Linked DNA regions of Neodiprion lecontei. The protein of the gene in region 2 interacts with the protein of the main gene of each other region in a pairwise test. Links are inferred from orthologs where the notes say so. Each region holds a gene or a part of one and is shown on either strand. Other genes may lie near its edges.

Region 1 (7,735 bases), on a different chromosome or scaffold from region 2:
AATGTAACAAAGTACGTACATGGGTTATAAAAAAATATTCAATATTTAAAAAATCTGGAATGATTATACGGTAAAATAATCAGTTCAAAAAATACTATGGCTGCATAGTAAGAAGGAAGTTATTGAATATTGGCAAGTCTGTATCATTAGTTTTGTACAGACTTTATCTTTTTCGTACCTTAGACTCAAATTCAATTACTGTAACCAAGGTGGTTTTGAACGTGAAAACTACATTTATAGCTTTCAAAAATATTCGAAACTGCTTTTGTTCCAGAGACAGGCGTAAAGACAAGTTGCTAAATGAATCATTTCATGTCTTCAGTCCCAATGCTATACTATTAAATTTGTTTCCGTTAACAATTGGATACGTGAATTGGAAGAAAACGGCAAAACTGAAATAGTATAGAAACTCGCTTTGCACTTTCTTATACGCCGAAAGTTCTGCTTGTAATTGACAGAAGCTTTCTGTTCACTCGAAAATACATGATCTGTACGTACATTTCAGGCACATGCGTTCTTACCGATTACACAATTTTTAAATAAGCAAAGTATCAATTCATCGAGAATATAAGGTAAAGTACAAAAAAATAATTACATAGATTACGTATTGTTCAAGTGTGAGATATTAGATACGTACAATGTCGAGAAAATCAATTTATATCAAGTTTTTCAAAAGTTTTTAATGAAGTAGCAAAAATCAACAAGTGTATAATATTAAAGAAGAAGTTTCTTTCAAGTTACTTTCCTACCAAGTTATGTTTAGGCTAATTATTACTGGAAGGTACACCGAAGAATCGATAACAATTTCGGACGATCGCTTTGAAGGTTGTAGTTAAAAGCATGTAATACAACGTACAGTACTCGAATAACTTATTCCTACAAAGACGAAGATATTTACGGTTTAAAAGTTGATGACAGAAGCAGTCTGCGTTACGGCAGTATTTTACAGAAATTCACACTACATAGATTATCAAGTCTTTTCTAACGTTCATCTATATAATATGCTTCATATATATATATTTAAATACATAATTATCATTAATATAATATATTCTCTTCAGTATATTGTCTCGCGTTTGTTGTTGTCAAACACAACAGCGAGACAATGCATAAAAATATCCTAGTCTCAAGTCCTGCGCAAGAACGAGCTATAATTAATACTTTGCTCTAGTTATGGTTAAACAATGAACAAAAAATGTAAGTTTTCAACAATTAAGATTTCCTCGGTGTTTGACAACCGACTAACGATTTCAACATTATGACTAAAATCGAGTCTAATTACAATATTTTCCATCATTGGAGGCATCGTGTAACAACAAATAGCGCAAAAAATTGATTATATCGATATACGCGATTTAATCAATCAAAATGCGATTGATAACAACAAAGTACGGGGCATCATATCAATAATTAATAAAACTTTTCAAACAATGCGTTACGCTAGCTTATGCAACACCCATGCTAACATTGGTATAAATAAATACATCTCAGTGAGAGATTACGAAATTCTCTGGAATGCTATATTACATTTTAATTATGTAGATTTCTGTGAACAGACGAACTAACGAAGGATGAGAATTCCGTGATTAGTAAATATCGTACGTCTCCGAGATTCGGATTTTATTAATAGATTAGTGCCAAGTGCTAATCTACAGAAAGCATATTAGCATGAGTTTTCATCTAAATTCGCTAATTACAATAATAATGATTTGCTTAGCCTAATAATAATTTAAATTTCTCGCCTAAGTTTACCCATCTACTCTAGGCCACCCTCCTCTTCTAACTTCGACAAGAACTTTGGCACCCTGTAATTAGCTTCTGTTTGTCTTGCCATGTCGATAAGACCCAACAACTTCTTGATACCGATGAATATGCTGTAATGATGAATCGATACAAAATTTCATTATTGTATTGTATAAATTTTTTATATGAAAATAACCATGTGCAATATAATTTATATATCTGATCTTACCGATGACCTTGGAGTTTAGCGTGCAGAGACGAAAGTTCTTCCTTTGAGAAAAGATCCGCCTCTTCCAATACAGCCAGAAGATGATCAGAAGTCGACAAGTTGGGTACATGAAGAACAGTGCTGAATGCCGACAGCATCTCCATATCTTCCATTACACCTCTACAATTTGAAATGTTAGATAGATTATTGATTATATTTAACCACCTACAATTTATTGCTACTCGTTCAGCTTGTTTTTTCAGATTTCAAACCTGCGACTCGTTGTGCATAAGATGAGCAGCTTGCGACCACGCGGAGGTTCCTTCTTTAGAAGCACCAACAGCGCTTGGAGAGTTAAATTCGAGTATCGTGGACCAATTGGACCATAATCCAGAAGCCGTTCGATGTTGTCGACCAAAATACAACTGAGTTGTGAACGATATGCGTCGTCGAAGATCTGAAATTTTATAGCAAAGGTACAACTTTTTGCAAACAACTATTTATTTTGACATCTCACAATACTTTCAATTTGAATTTGATTGGGATCCAAAATGCATGATAATATCGTGAGTAAAAATGCACCTTTCGAATGGACAGACACTTTGCAGATTCGGTGTAGCCCACCATGTCTTCCGGTGTGCAAACTTTGACGAATGGGAAGTCGGAGTTTTTCGCTATGCGTGCAGCAAGTGCAGTCTTGCCACTGTTTGGCGGTCCCTCCAATAGAACGGAAACGAGACCAGAACCTTCGGAAGCACGAGCTTGCTGAATATAAAGTGAACCGTCTGCAAGTATCTCTGCAACTGGCCGACCCCAGTTGATAATTCCACGTGTTAACAAATGATCCAACGCATCAGCGCTAGTACCAAATGCCTGTAAATTTTGTTCAACTATACAAAAAAATCCATTTTTTGCGGCAATAATTTGAACAGTGTACAGAGTACAATCAAAATTGCATGTTCTTAACGTTTTTACTCACAGGTTTGATGTCATTTTCCAACGCGTGAAGAAAATCGCTCCTGCCGACCATGAGCTTCTCCATTGCTGCAGGATCGACTTCTACCTTGCTTGACGCCTTGATTAGCCTGTTCATAGCCGTGCTCTGCGCAGCTCTTACCAAACCTTCCAATTCTGCACCACTAAAATTTTTTGTCAGAGTTGCCAGTTCTTTCAGGTCCACATCAGGTGCAATCTTCTTGTAATCTCGCATTCTGGACGTGTGAATGTTCACGATTTGATATCTACCATGTTCATTCGGCAAGCCAATTTCCATTTGAACCTGATAATGGTCAAACAAAATTTACGGTTTATGGAAAGAAGAGTGAACCTTAAAAAGTCCGCTTCTACAATCAGCAACTTGCATCCCTCTCACCTCCAATCTGCCAGGTCTCAACAGAGCCTCGTCAATCATGTCTCTCCTGTTCGTCATCCCGATGACAAGAATGTTGTTTAGCTGCTCCACACCATCAATCTTCGCAAGCAACTGGTTGACAACAGTGTCGTGAACGCCGGTATTTCCAGCGACGCTACCACGAGATTTGCAGATAGCATCGATTTCGTCAAAGATTATTATGTGCAGTCCACTGTTTGGCCCCAGCTGAAAGATTAAGTAGAATTCGTGAGGTCAAACCTGTATCTTCTATTGATTTCCTGAAAAATTGTTACAAATATGAGGAACATACCCGTTTTTCTTCGTCTTCAGCATCAGCGAACAGTCTTCGGATATTCGCTTCACTCTCACCAACGTATTTATCCAGGATCTGCGGCCCGTTAACGATCTTGGGTTCCCTCGCGTTTAACATTGTTCCTATCTGCCGAGCCATCAAAGTTTTACCGGTACCTGGCGGCCCGTATAAAAGAATTCCTTTCACGTGCTTACATCCAAGCTGCTCGACGACTTCAGGAGGAAATACTCGTGATGCAAAGGCTCGACGGAATATGGCATTGAACTCTTTGTCCAAGCCACCGATTCCCATTTTCTGGAAATCCCAGTCAGGATTGATGATCGATTGTCGAACAACTCTTCCCTTAGCTTTTCCAGTTAAATTCAAGCTCGAATTCTCAGCTTTTTCAAATTGGATCATCGTATCACCTAGGCATCGTCCCATTTTTGTCTTTCTTGGCTTTGCGTCCTGCCCTGATTTTATAGCTGCAATGTCGGCTGCCTCCAAACTTTTGATCACAAGTCCAAGCATCTTTTTATCTTGAAATTGGAATGCCAACTGCTGCCCGACTGTAAATGCTTGGCCTGAGAACTGCAGCAGAAATTCCTTCGCCATTAGTTCCGTGTCATATGGCTCCAGTGTCGTTCTGAAAAATAGTTTCATTCAATTCCATTGATTTATCCATGGTTTGCTTTTGAAAAAAGTTAAACCTAAAGCTGTAAGTTTCATTATTTCTAATACTCACGTTTTCTTTTGCAGGAAGTCGGCTTCGACGACGATTGTGCAGAGGAATTCAGAGCTCGATGTTGGGTCAAAGTGATAAGGACGAACTTCGATGTCCTGATTGAGGGACAGTGTTGCCCATTTACGTTGAGGCAAGCTGAAGCCGACTGTTCCACGAGGTATGTCATGATGGGTCTTTACCGTGAAAACGAAATGCTGATTTGGACCTGTAGTAACTTCGATGTGCCTGAGACAATACACATTGTTAAATCTTGCGAATCGAATCCGAATTAGATTACATTTGACAATTGTGGTAAAAAGAAGGTGTAGTGAGATTGTACTTCGTTTGCGGACAATTCAAATATCCTGATTAATGACAGAACCATTGCTAGAAATGAGGGATTGACAATAAACTATTTGGTTTATAGATCATCAGCAAAACAGAGGAAATGAAGAAAGTGAAACGAGTTTCAGAAAATTTTGGATCTTCAGTTGTACTGCCATGTATCAAGTTTTTTTCAATACAATTCCAAACAAACTTGATTTTTCAAAAAATAATTAAGTAATAATTAAAACTTCATTGTTATTACTACACCAGCTTTCTTTGATTGCTGTAATAATTAATTCAAGCATAATTTAAGCAAATCGTAGGCAAACTACTCACTTTATATCATCTGGAAAATCATCACGATTTATCACAGCACAGTTGGAGAGGCTGAGCTCGTCGGTAGGACACTTGATCGCTTTCATTATCTATGAAAAATGTAATATTGTTAGTAACAATAAATCAGACAAAATAAACGAGAAGCTATGGCCAAGGTTATAAAATTCAAGTTGAAATCGCTGAGCGACAGTGAACTTAGGTAAAGATTAGATAAGATTTAATGATGAAAGTAAAATTGATTGGGTTCAGAATTCGCAGAACATTGATTTTATATGTACACCCACAAGTTTGGGAATTTTAAATAGAAATTATGCCAGCTGGTCGGACAGTTTGAGTAGCTATTTATAAATATTCTAAAATACATGTCACACACTGTCAAACTGATTCAAATAAATAATATTTGGCGGTGAGGAAATGGTATAACGATATAAGAGTCACTTGGTGCATTGCACATGGTTCATTTATTTGACTGAAATTCGACTAGTAAGTATATTTAAGCAAATATCGTCACGAGGCGTGACTGCAGGTGAGGAAAGGATGAATTAGATGTGATAAACGTCATTTTTACTAATCAGAAAAAAAGATTAAACAGAAAACCTTTTTTGTCGCGCGCGATAGTTACGGAATCAGGCTTCAAATACGAAGGTGATTTTCGAAGAAATTATTTATCCGGGAATGAACTAATAGCTCAATAAATTCAACGTGACATAAGCTGCGACTGTAATCAGGATTATTGACGTTTCAGTTGCGCCGAAGGGGCGTGCGTTATTTTGTGCAGCAAACGCTCGTAGGATTTATGATCGCAAGTATGATGTTCCTTTGTGTTCGTAATTCAGCGATTTAACGTGTAATTAACAGATCTTAAGCAACAACTTACCATGCCCGGCATACTTTTTGACATAAATACGATAAACTTAGGCTCCTGCTTCTATAGAACCCGCAATGCAGACAGTTCTGTTCTCTTTTTTTTTCCCTTCCCAGCAATCTGAATGCGATCAAGCTTCGAACTGAAGAGAGTATCTAGAAGGAGAATCAGTGATCACGTCAGCATGCTGGGCCACCATAAAACTGTAACTAGAGAGAACAGCCTGCGCGAGTCGCTTGCGTCCCGTGAGTGTTGGCGCTCTCTCATATCATTCGTTTCATAGAGCCAAAGAGCCTGAAAGAGCCTGAGAACCATAGACTTTTATGATGAGAACCCGTTACAGGGTGCATTTTCACGGGCAGTAAATTAATGCCATCGCAGCTAGCAGCGCCACGCTGCTACAGAAAGTGAAGAGCTTTCCGTGAAAATGTATCGGCAGCGGCAATAAAACGCTGCCCGACAAGCGCAGCCGTGAACTGATCACATGGTTTATCAGTGAATCTCATTTGTGTTGATATTCGCTTGCAATTCGTGAGTTCCGTAGTTCCGACCCGTGGTTCCGATGGTGCCAATTAGCCTTCTCTTACGCGTTTTTTTGTGATACCCGGCAACAATAACATCCTTCTGAACACGTCAGAACTACGGGTCGGAATTATAGGACTTATGAATTGCAAGCGAATATCAAAGGAAATGAGATCCACTGATAAACTACCCGATCAACTAAAGGCTGCGCTTGTCGGGCGGCGTTGTGCTGCCCCTGTCGACACATTTTCACGGGAAGTTTTTCGCTTCGTTGCGTTGCTCGCTACCGCGGCGTTTTACTGCCTGTGAAAATGCACCCGCATACAGCATTGCATACACACTGCACTACTGCAGTCGTCAAGAAATTCGCTTAATTCAGTTGTGTTGCACCCAGTCGCACCGCAGACGCTACAACTGTTTTCGAGTGATTTGAACTCCAAAAATGAGGAAGGGAAAATCAAAAGTATTTTGATGTAATATTTAAGTGAAAACTCCAATTAGAAAATATATTGAGAAGAACAGTGGTAGCATGGAAGCTTCTTCATCGTTCAAAAAATTAAACACGTTGTCTTCCTGTTAAATTATGTGTCAAACGGCTTTTCTTTCTCCGTATAGGTTAGGTTGAGATGCGGCGAGAATTTCAATCGCAGATTGCGAACTCCGTTCTTCGGTAAACCATATTTAATGATATGTGTATCACGTTTCTGATTACTCTCAAATTTTATGCAGTTCCTTGCTGCATAAAGTTATAACTGCTTCAAAATTGTGTTCTATTTTCCTGTTTCTCCTGCTTAATCTCATTACATTCTTACCAATTTTACATTCTTAACAAGCGCCATAAACATTGTCTTATATACATTTGTATAATTGAATGGTTTAATATAATTTATTTCATTAAAATAGATGTGCATCTATATCTAGATACAACTATCGATCAAGAGCATAAATAGTTTATGCGTTGCATAAAACGTAGGAGCAAATGGATCGCGTAAAGACTGGAACAGGCCGTGGGGCCAAGAGCAAAATAGCTCAGCATCCCGCAGACTTGTTTGCTCTTGGATCAAAAAGTTCCAGAGGTGAAGCTACAGATTCCAAGCGACCTGGTGTGATCCATGGGAAGCCAGGCCCGAGTTCTACCTCAAGTACGACTTTTTTCAGTGCTACTAAAATTTACACTTCTTAGCTTTCTTCAATACTCTCAATGCTCAAGATAGCTTGTGTTTTTAAAATAAGATTGGTGGAATGAATTTGCAAAGACTTCTGGATCGTAAATTAGCTAGTCAAGTGGTGCATCGTTTACATTGGAGTATTTTCGTGCAGGTTCAGATCGTAAGAAGGAAGCTCCA
Region 2 (4,648 bases):
ATCAGTTAAAATTTAACTTTCAGTCGTTGCGGTCAACATTTTGTCGATTAGAAACAACTCACCGGCTGACCCAGGCAAAAATAACCCTGAAGCGAGGAGCTGGAGCACTCGCTTGTAGGCTTGATTTATCGGCAGTGCTTGTCTGCTGGGATTATTCATGATTGCATTATGTGCCAGAAGATCTAGCATCCATGGTGACAGGGGTTCGAAACCCTCGAATCTGGTCCTCAAGTCTCTCAGCAATCTGATCAGTACTTTGATACTCGAGTGATGGGCATTTTCTTCGAACCATCGAGAGTGTCTGATAGCTGCTAGGTGCCCTGTAAAAAAAAAAAAAAAATTGAAACATGTTGAAACAAGGTTGATACTATTTTGCGAATTGAAAATAAAACTTGAATAGGTTTTTAAGCTTTGGTAACTATCTGAATTTTTTCTTGTGAAATTTTATCAAAAAGTCAAACGATCCGGGTGCAACACAATGTCGGTAAATACCTTGGCAGATTTTAACGTCAAGATGCTGCTCAGATTCCAATTTACGTAAGTTTTGATGCAAAGTAGTGATGAGGACACGAACAGTGGCCTCATTAGTTGAAAGATCAAATCCACGTTCCGTTTGAGTCAGCTTAAACGCCTCTTTAGGATTGCCCGCCTTCAAGTCTGTGTTTACTTTCGTGCCCAGCGCTTCAACCGCTGTTTTTGTAGGTAATGTTTTGAGGATAACAACGATGTCTGCTACATTGTGACCCTTGATCATTGTCCCTTTTTTGAAGCTCCCCACTTGTCTGACTTCCTCGAGTTGCTGTAAATGAAACGAATCCATCAATGTTCCTTCTCATTTTCGTTTCACTCGAAAAAAAAAAGAAAAACATAGCTTTAACTGTATTTACAGCCATTTTAAATTTGCTGTATACCCACACAAGCTTCGAAGGTTCCAGGTGCAACGATTAGATTATCCAGAACTCCTTGTAGCTTCGTAACGAGGTTCAAGATGGAATTCTGCTCTTTCGCTGTCGGACACATATCTGAATTTTTCTTCAGAAGTGCCGTAGTAAAGTCAGCCTCATCCGCAGCTGCCTTGACACGAGGAAACGCAGCCTCGCAAAGGGTGTAATCAAAGGGATGTCTGGGCAGGAACTGTTTCCTAGGAAATCCCATTCCACGCCCCATTCCTCCTCGACCACCTCTTATCATGCCGCCGCGAGCACCTCGAACCATATTAAGCCTGCAATGTCAGAACAAATCGAATGCATCGTTTAATCATTTCTGGAGTCGATGCATAGTTCACAAGATATTAAAAATTGGTGGGACGTGATTTCTGGCTCGATTGATGCTTGACGGCAATACGAGAGATAGATGAAATAAAAGAAATGTGCTGATGTGCTCTTTTAAGGTTTAATTTCACAATCGTTCAGAGCTCGCACGATTCTAATCAGGGTAATGTTTGGACTACGTATTGGCCAATCGCGTGTTGAGCGAGAGAGAAACCAATTATAACGAAAATATACCTCTCGTTTTCTCTCTCACTCACTCCTCGGCTAGACTTTCTGTACACGCAAAGCTACCTCCAGTAGTATATGCTCTAAGGTGCGAATGAACATTGAACGAAGAACCTAACCAAGCATAGCAGACTTACATTGCTGGAAGATCCAGGATCACCCTGAAAACAAATCGTATTCCGGTATTTCGTTACTCGGAGTGAGATGAGCTGTTATTTATTCTTCTAATCGAGTATTTATCGCGGTATTTATTCAATAATAACTTACCCTGGATAATTTATTTGAGCAATAGCCGACCTTAGTCCTCAGCGTGTGCTTAGCCGTGCTTAGCCGGTTTAACGATCCTGATGGCGTTTCATCTGAAGTCAACCGCGAGAGGCGCGAGAGCGCGAGTGTGCCGCGATTCGTGTCGCCATCTTGGATTCTACGTTCGAGATCGTTAACTTGAAAGTCGAAACTCTCCAGTTTCAGCCGTTCGAGCTTCAGGTTAGTGTATTGTTGCAAGGTAATCATGGCTTCGGAGCGGTACAGTTTTTCGCTGACTACGTTCAGGTAAGAACAGGGAATTTAACGTATTTCCTGTATTCTTGCGACCTTCAATCAATCAGTCTAACCGTTTCTGGAAAAATATTCAAAATTTTATCTTAGCCAGCAGTTTGAAAGTCCGTCAACTCGGTCCTAACCTAAAAACCACGTCAAGAATCGAAAAAGTTTCGTGTCAAACGAGTCTGAAACTTTATTCTCACCTAAGCAATATCAAACTTGTTTCAAATTTCTGTCTCAATCTCCATGGAAACTTGGAGTGAGCTTTATTGCATCCCATGTTTTGATCAAAGAATCTCCACTTTTTGTCCTGTCATTGTTACTCTACATCGTTTAAGGCTCAAATTTGATTGCGTCGACTATAAAACCTCATTATTCTTCACCATCATTTCAAAATTTTACATTTTTATTTTATACTTACAGCCCGTCGGGCAAGCTGGTGCAGATCGAGTATGCATTGGCTGCAGTATCAGCTGGGGCGCCTTCGGTTGGCATCAAGGCATCCAACGGAGTTGTTCTTGCCACTGAAAACAAGCACAAATCGATACTCTATGACGAACACAGTGTTAACAAGGTTGAAATGGTTACCAAGCATATTGGGATGATATATAGTGGAATGGGGCCTGACTATCGTCTACTTGTGAAGCAAGCTCGCAAAATCGCCCAGCAGTACTTGCTAGTGTACCAGGAACCAATTCCAACTGCGCAACTCGTTCAACGAGTAGCGATGCTCATGCAGGAGTACACGCAGTCAGGGTAAGATCAGAGTTTTCATGATTTCATATAATTAGCCGAAACTTGACTATAATTTCCAGCTGATATTTACTATGACCTCATGCAATTTAAACGGTTTTGAATGAATTTTATATGCTGTTTTTGACTTGATGTTTGGTATCAACGTTATAAACCATGAAAAGTAGACATTACCAAATTTAGATACAAGGTTTTAGCAAGCAGATGTGTGAGAAAAGTATATTTATGGAAAGAATTGTTGAAATCTGAAAGAGTTTGTCGTAAAATGGTTCTCGTTGGAAATTTCCATAATAGATTCATTGTTTGACATTTGTCAATCGAAGGGCATAAGACAAGTCGAAGAAAATTGCTTCACAAAGATTTAAAAGGAACCACGTGTAATGATTTACGCGTTATCTATTTTCGAGTAGCACAGAATAGACGAGGTTCCGCTTCACTTTTATGATTAAGAACAACCGGAAAGTTTAGGTGAGGGATTTAAATGAACGAGTCTGGTGTGCTGATGTTGGAATATGCCTTATGATTTATCGAACATGTGTCCGATTCGAAAGGTAAAGTCAGAATATCGTATGAAAGACGGACCAGGATTGCATCGAGAAATGAATAAAACAAAGTATGGGTGTGTGCAAAAAGCGGGGTGTGTAGGATCAAGGTTCCGGGAATAAGAAGCGGTAATCGGGTGTGTACAGGGTGTGCAAGGCTTGTATTGTTTGGCAAAATGGAGCGACTATTAGGTAGGAGGGATGAAAGTCGATGTATGAGTGAAATAGAACTGTGAAATAGTGCGGAGTACGTAACACATGCATAGTCACATTTTGGAACTGATTAAATAATGTCTGTGCAGAGGTGTACGTCCGTTCGGTGTTTCTCTGCTGATCTGCGGCTGGGACAACGACAAGCCGTACCTGTTCCAGTGCGATCCGTCGGGTGCTTATTACGCCTGGAAGGCAACCGCGATGGGAAAGAATCACATCAACGGTAAAACATTCCTGGAGAAGAGATACAGCGAAGATCTGGAGCTCGACGACGCCGTTCATACCGCTATTCTGACTTTGAAGGAAGGATTTGAGGGGCAAATGACCGCGGACAATATTGAAGTCGGCATTTGTGACGCCAATGGATTCAGGAGACTCCATCCGTCCAATGTCAAGGACTACCTTGCGAACATCCCCTAATTTTTTATTCTATCTACGTTTACTTTTTTTTTTTGTTTGTATTGTAATATCCATTAATTGAGTCGGCAATACGAATGTGCTCGCGAATAAAAAAATTTCTTGAAATAAACAAAAAAAAAAAAATGAATAAAAAATCGCTAGTGGATTTCTTACGTATGCCTTTTATATTAATTTGATTGAACAGTGTATATATCTTTTAATGTTTTAGGCATCTTACCACGAAGCAGATTTGTTTGAAATGATGTGTTCTTCCTATTTTCAGCCTCTTCTTTTTTCAAACCGACGACACTCTGTTATCGAATTTGCAATTAACGAAGTTGAATAAATACAGTCAAATTTAGTGTAAAAATTTAAGTTGTGGCATTTCGCCACGCGTGTTAGACGATTGCTATCTCTGACGCTCTCGCGTTTAATTTCGCGTGAGATTAGGTAAAGACCTGTTGGTTTCGTTTCCGTGTTTCTTTTTCATTTTTTTATTCAGTCATTTAAATTCTGGAATACCTGATTCGTAAGTGGCGGTCAAAGAACTCGTGTGAACTGCGGCAAAAATTAACAAGGCAATGACGCTCTGCGTGTGCACTTCGCTGTTCAATATTGAATCGGAATATCTAAGAGCTCTCCTCGAAACGTAATATTCGCGAGATGAAGTTTCGCCGCGAGGGGAGTGTAAAGTTGACAAGG

The links. The genes of interacting proteins can lie anywhere in the genome.
Region 1: the proteins of proteasome subunit alpha type-2 (region 2) and vesicle-fusing ATPase 1 interact in binary tests that used the Caenorhabditis elegans proteins (3 or more experiments, as listed by UniProt). The link is inferred for Neodiprion lecontei from reciprocal best matches to the Caenorhabditis elegans genes pas-2 and nsf-1.

The regions. Positions count from the first base shown.
Region 1 is NC_060263.1:39,940,405-39,948,139, reverse strand, and holds the start of vesicle-fusing ATPase 1, read right to left. Parts: upstream 6,039-7,735; 5' UTR 5,904-6,038; coding exon 5,880-5,903; intron 5,092-5,879; coding exon 5,003-5,091; intron 4,586-5,002; coding exon 4,361-4,585; intron 4,262-4,360; coding exon 3,634-4,261; intron 3,549-3,633; coding exon 3,324-3,548; intron 3,231-3,323; coding exon 2,931-3,230; intron 2,825-2,930; coding exon 2,534-2,824; intron 2,409-2,533; coding exon 2,224-2,408; intron 2,132-2,223; coding exon 1,973-2,131; intron 1,875-1,972; coding exon 1,757-1,874; 3' UTR 1-1,756. Other genes in the region: integrator complex subunit 1, read left to right, coding at 7,369-7,531, 7,710-7,735. UniProt on the Caenorhabditis elegans protein: Required for vesicle-mediated transport. Catalyzes the fusion of transport vesicles within the Golgi cisternae. Is also required for transport from the endoplasmic reticulum to the Golgi stack.
Region 2 is NC_060265.1:26,830,322-26,834,969, reverse strand, and holds proteasome subunit alpha type-2, read left to right. Parts: upstream 1-1,912; 5' UTR 1,913-2,007; coding exon 2,008-2,048; intron 2,049-2,462; coding exon 2,463-2,795; intron 2,796-3,636; coding exon 3,637-3,967; 3' UTR 3,968-4,119; downstream 4,120-4,648. Other genes in the region: interleukin enhancer-binding factor 2, read right to left, coding at 63-320, 493-799, 916-1,222, 1,634-1,635. UniProt on the Caenorhabditis elegans protein: The proteasome is a multicatalytic proteinase complex which is characterized by its ability to cleave peptides with Arg, Phe, Tyr, Leu, and Glu adjacent to the leaving group at neutral or slightly basic pH.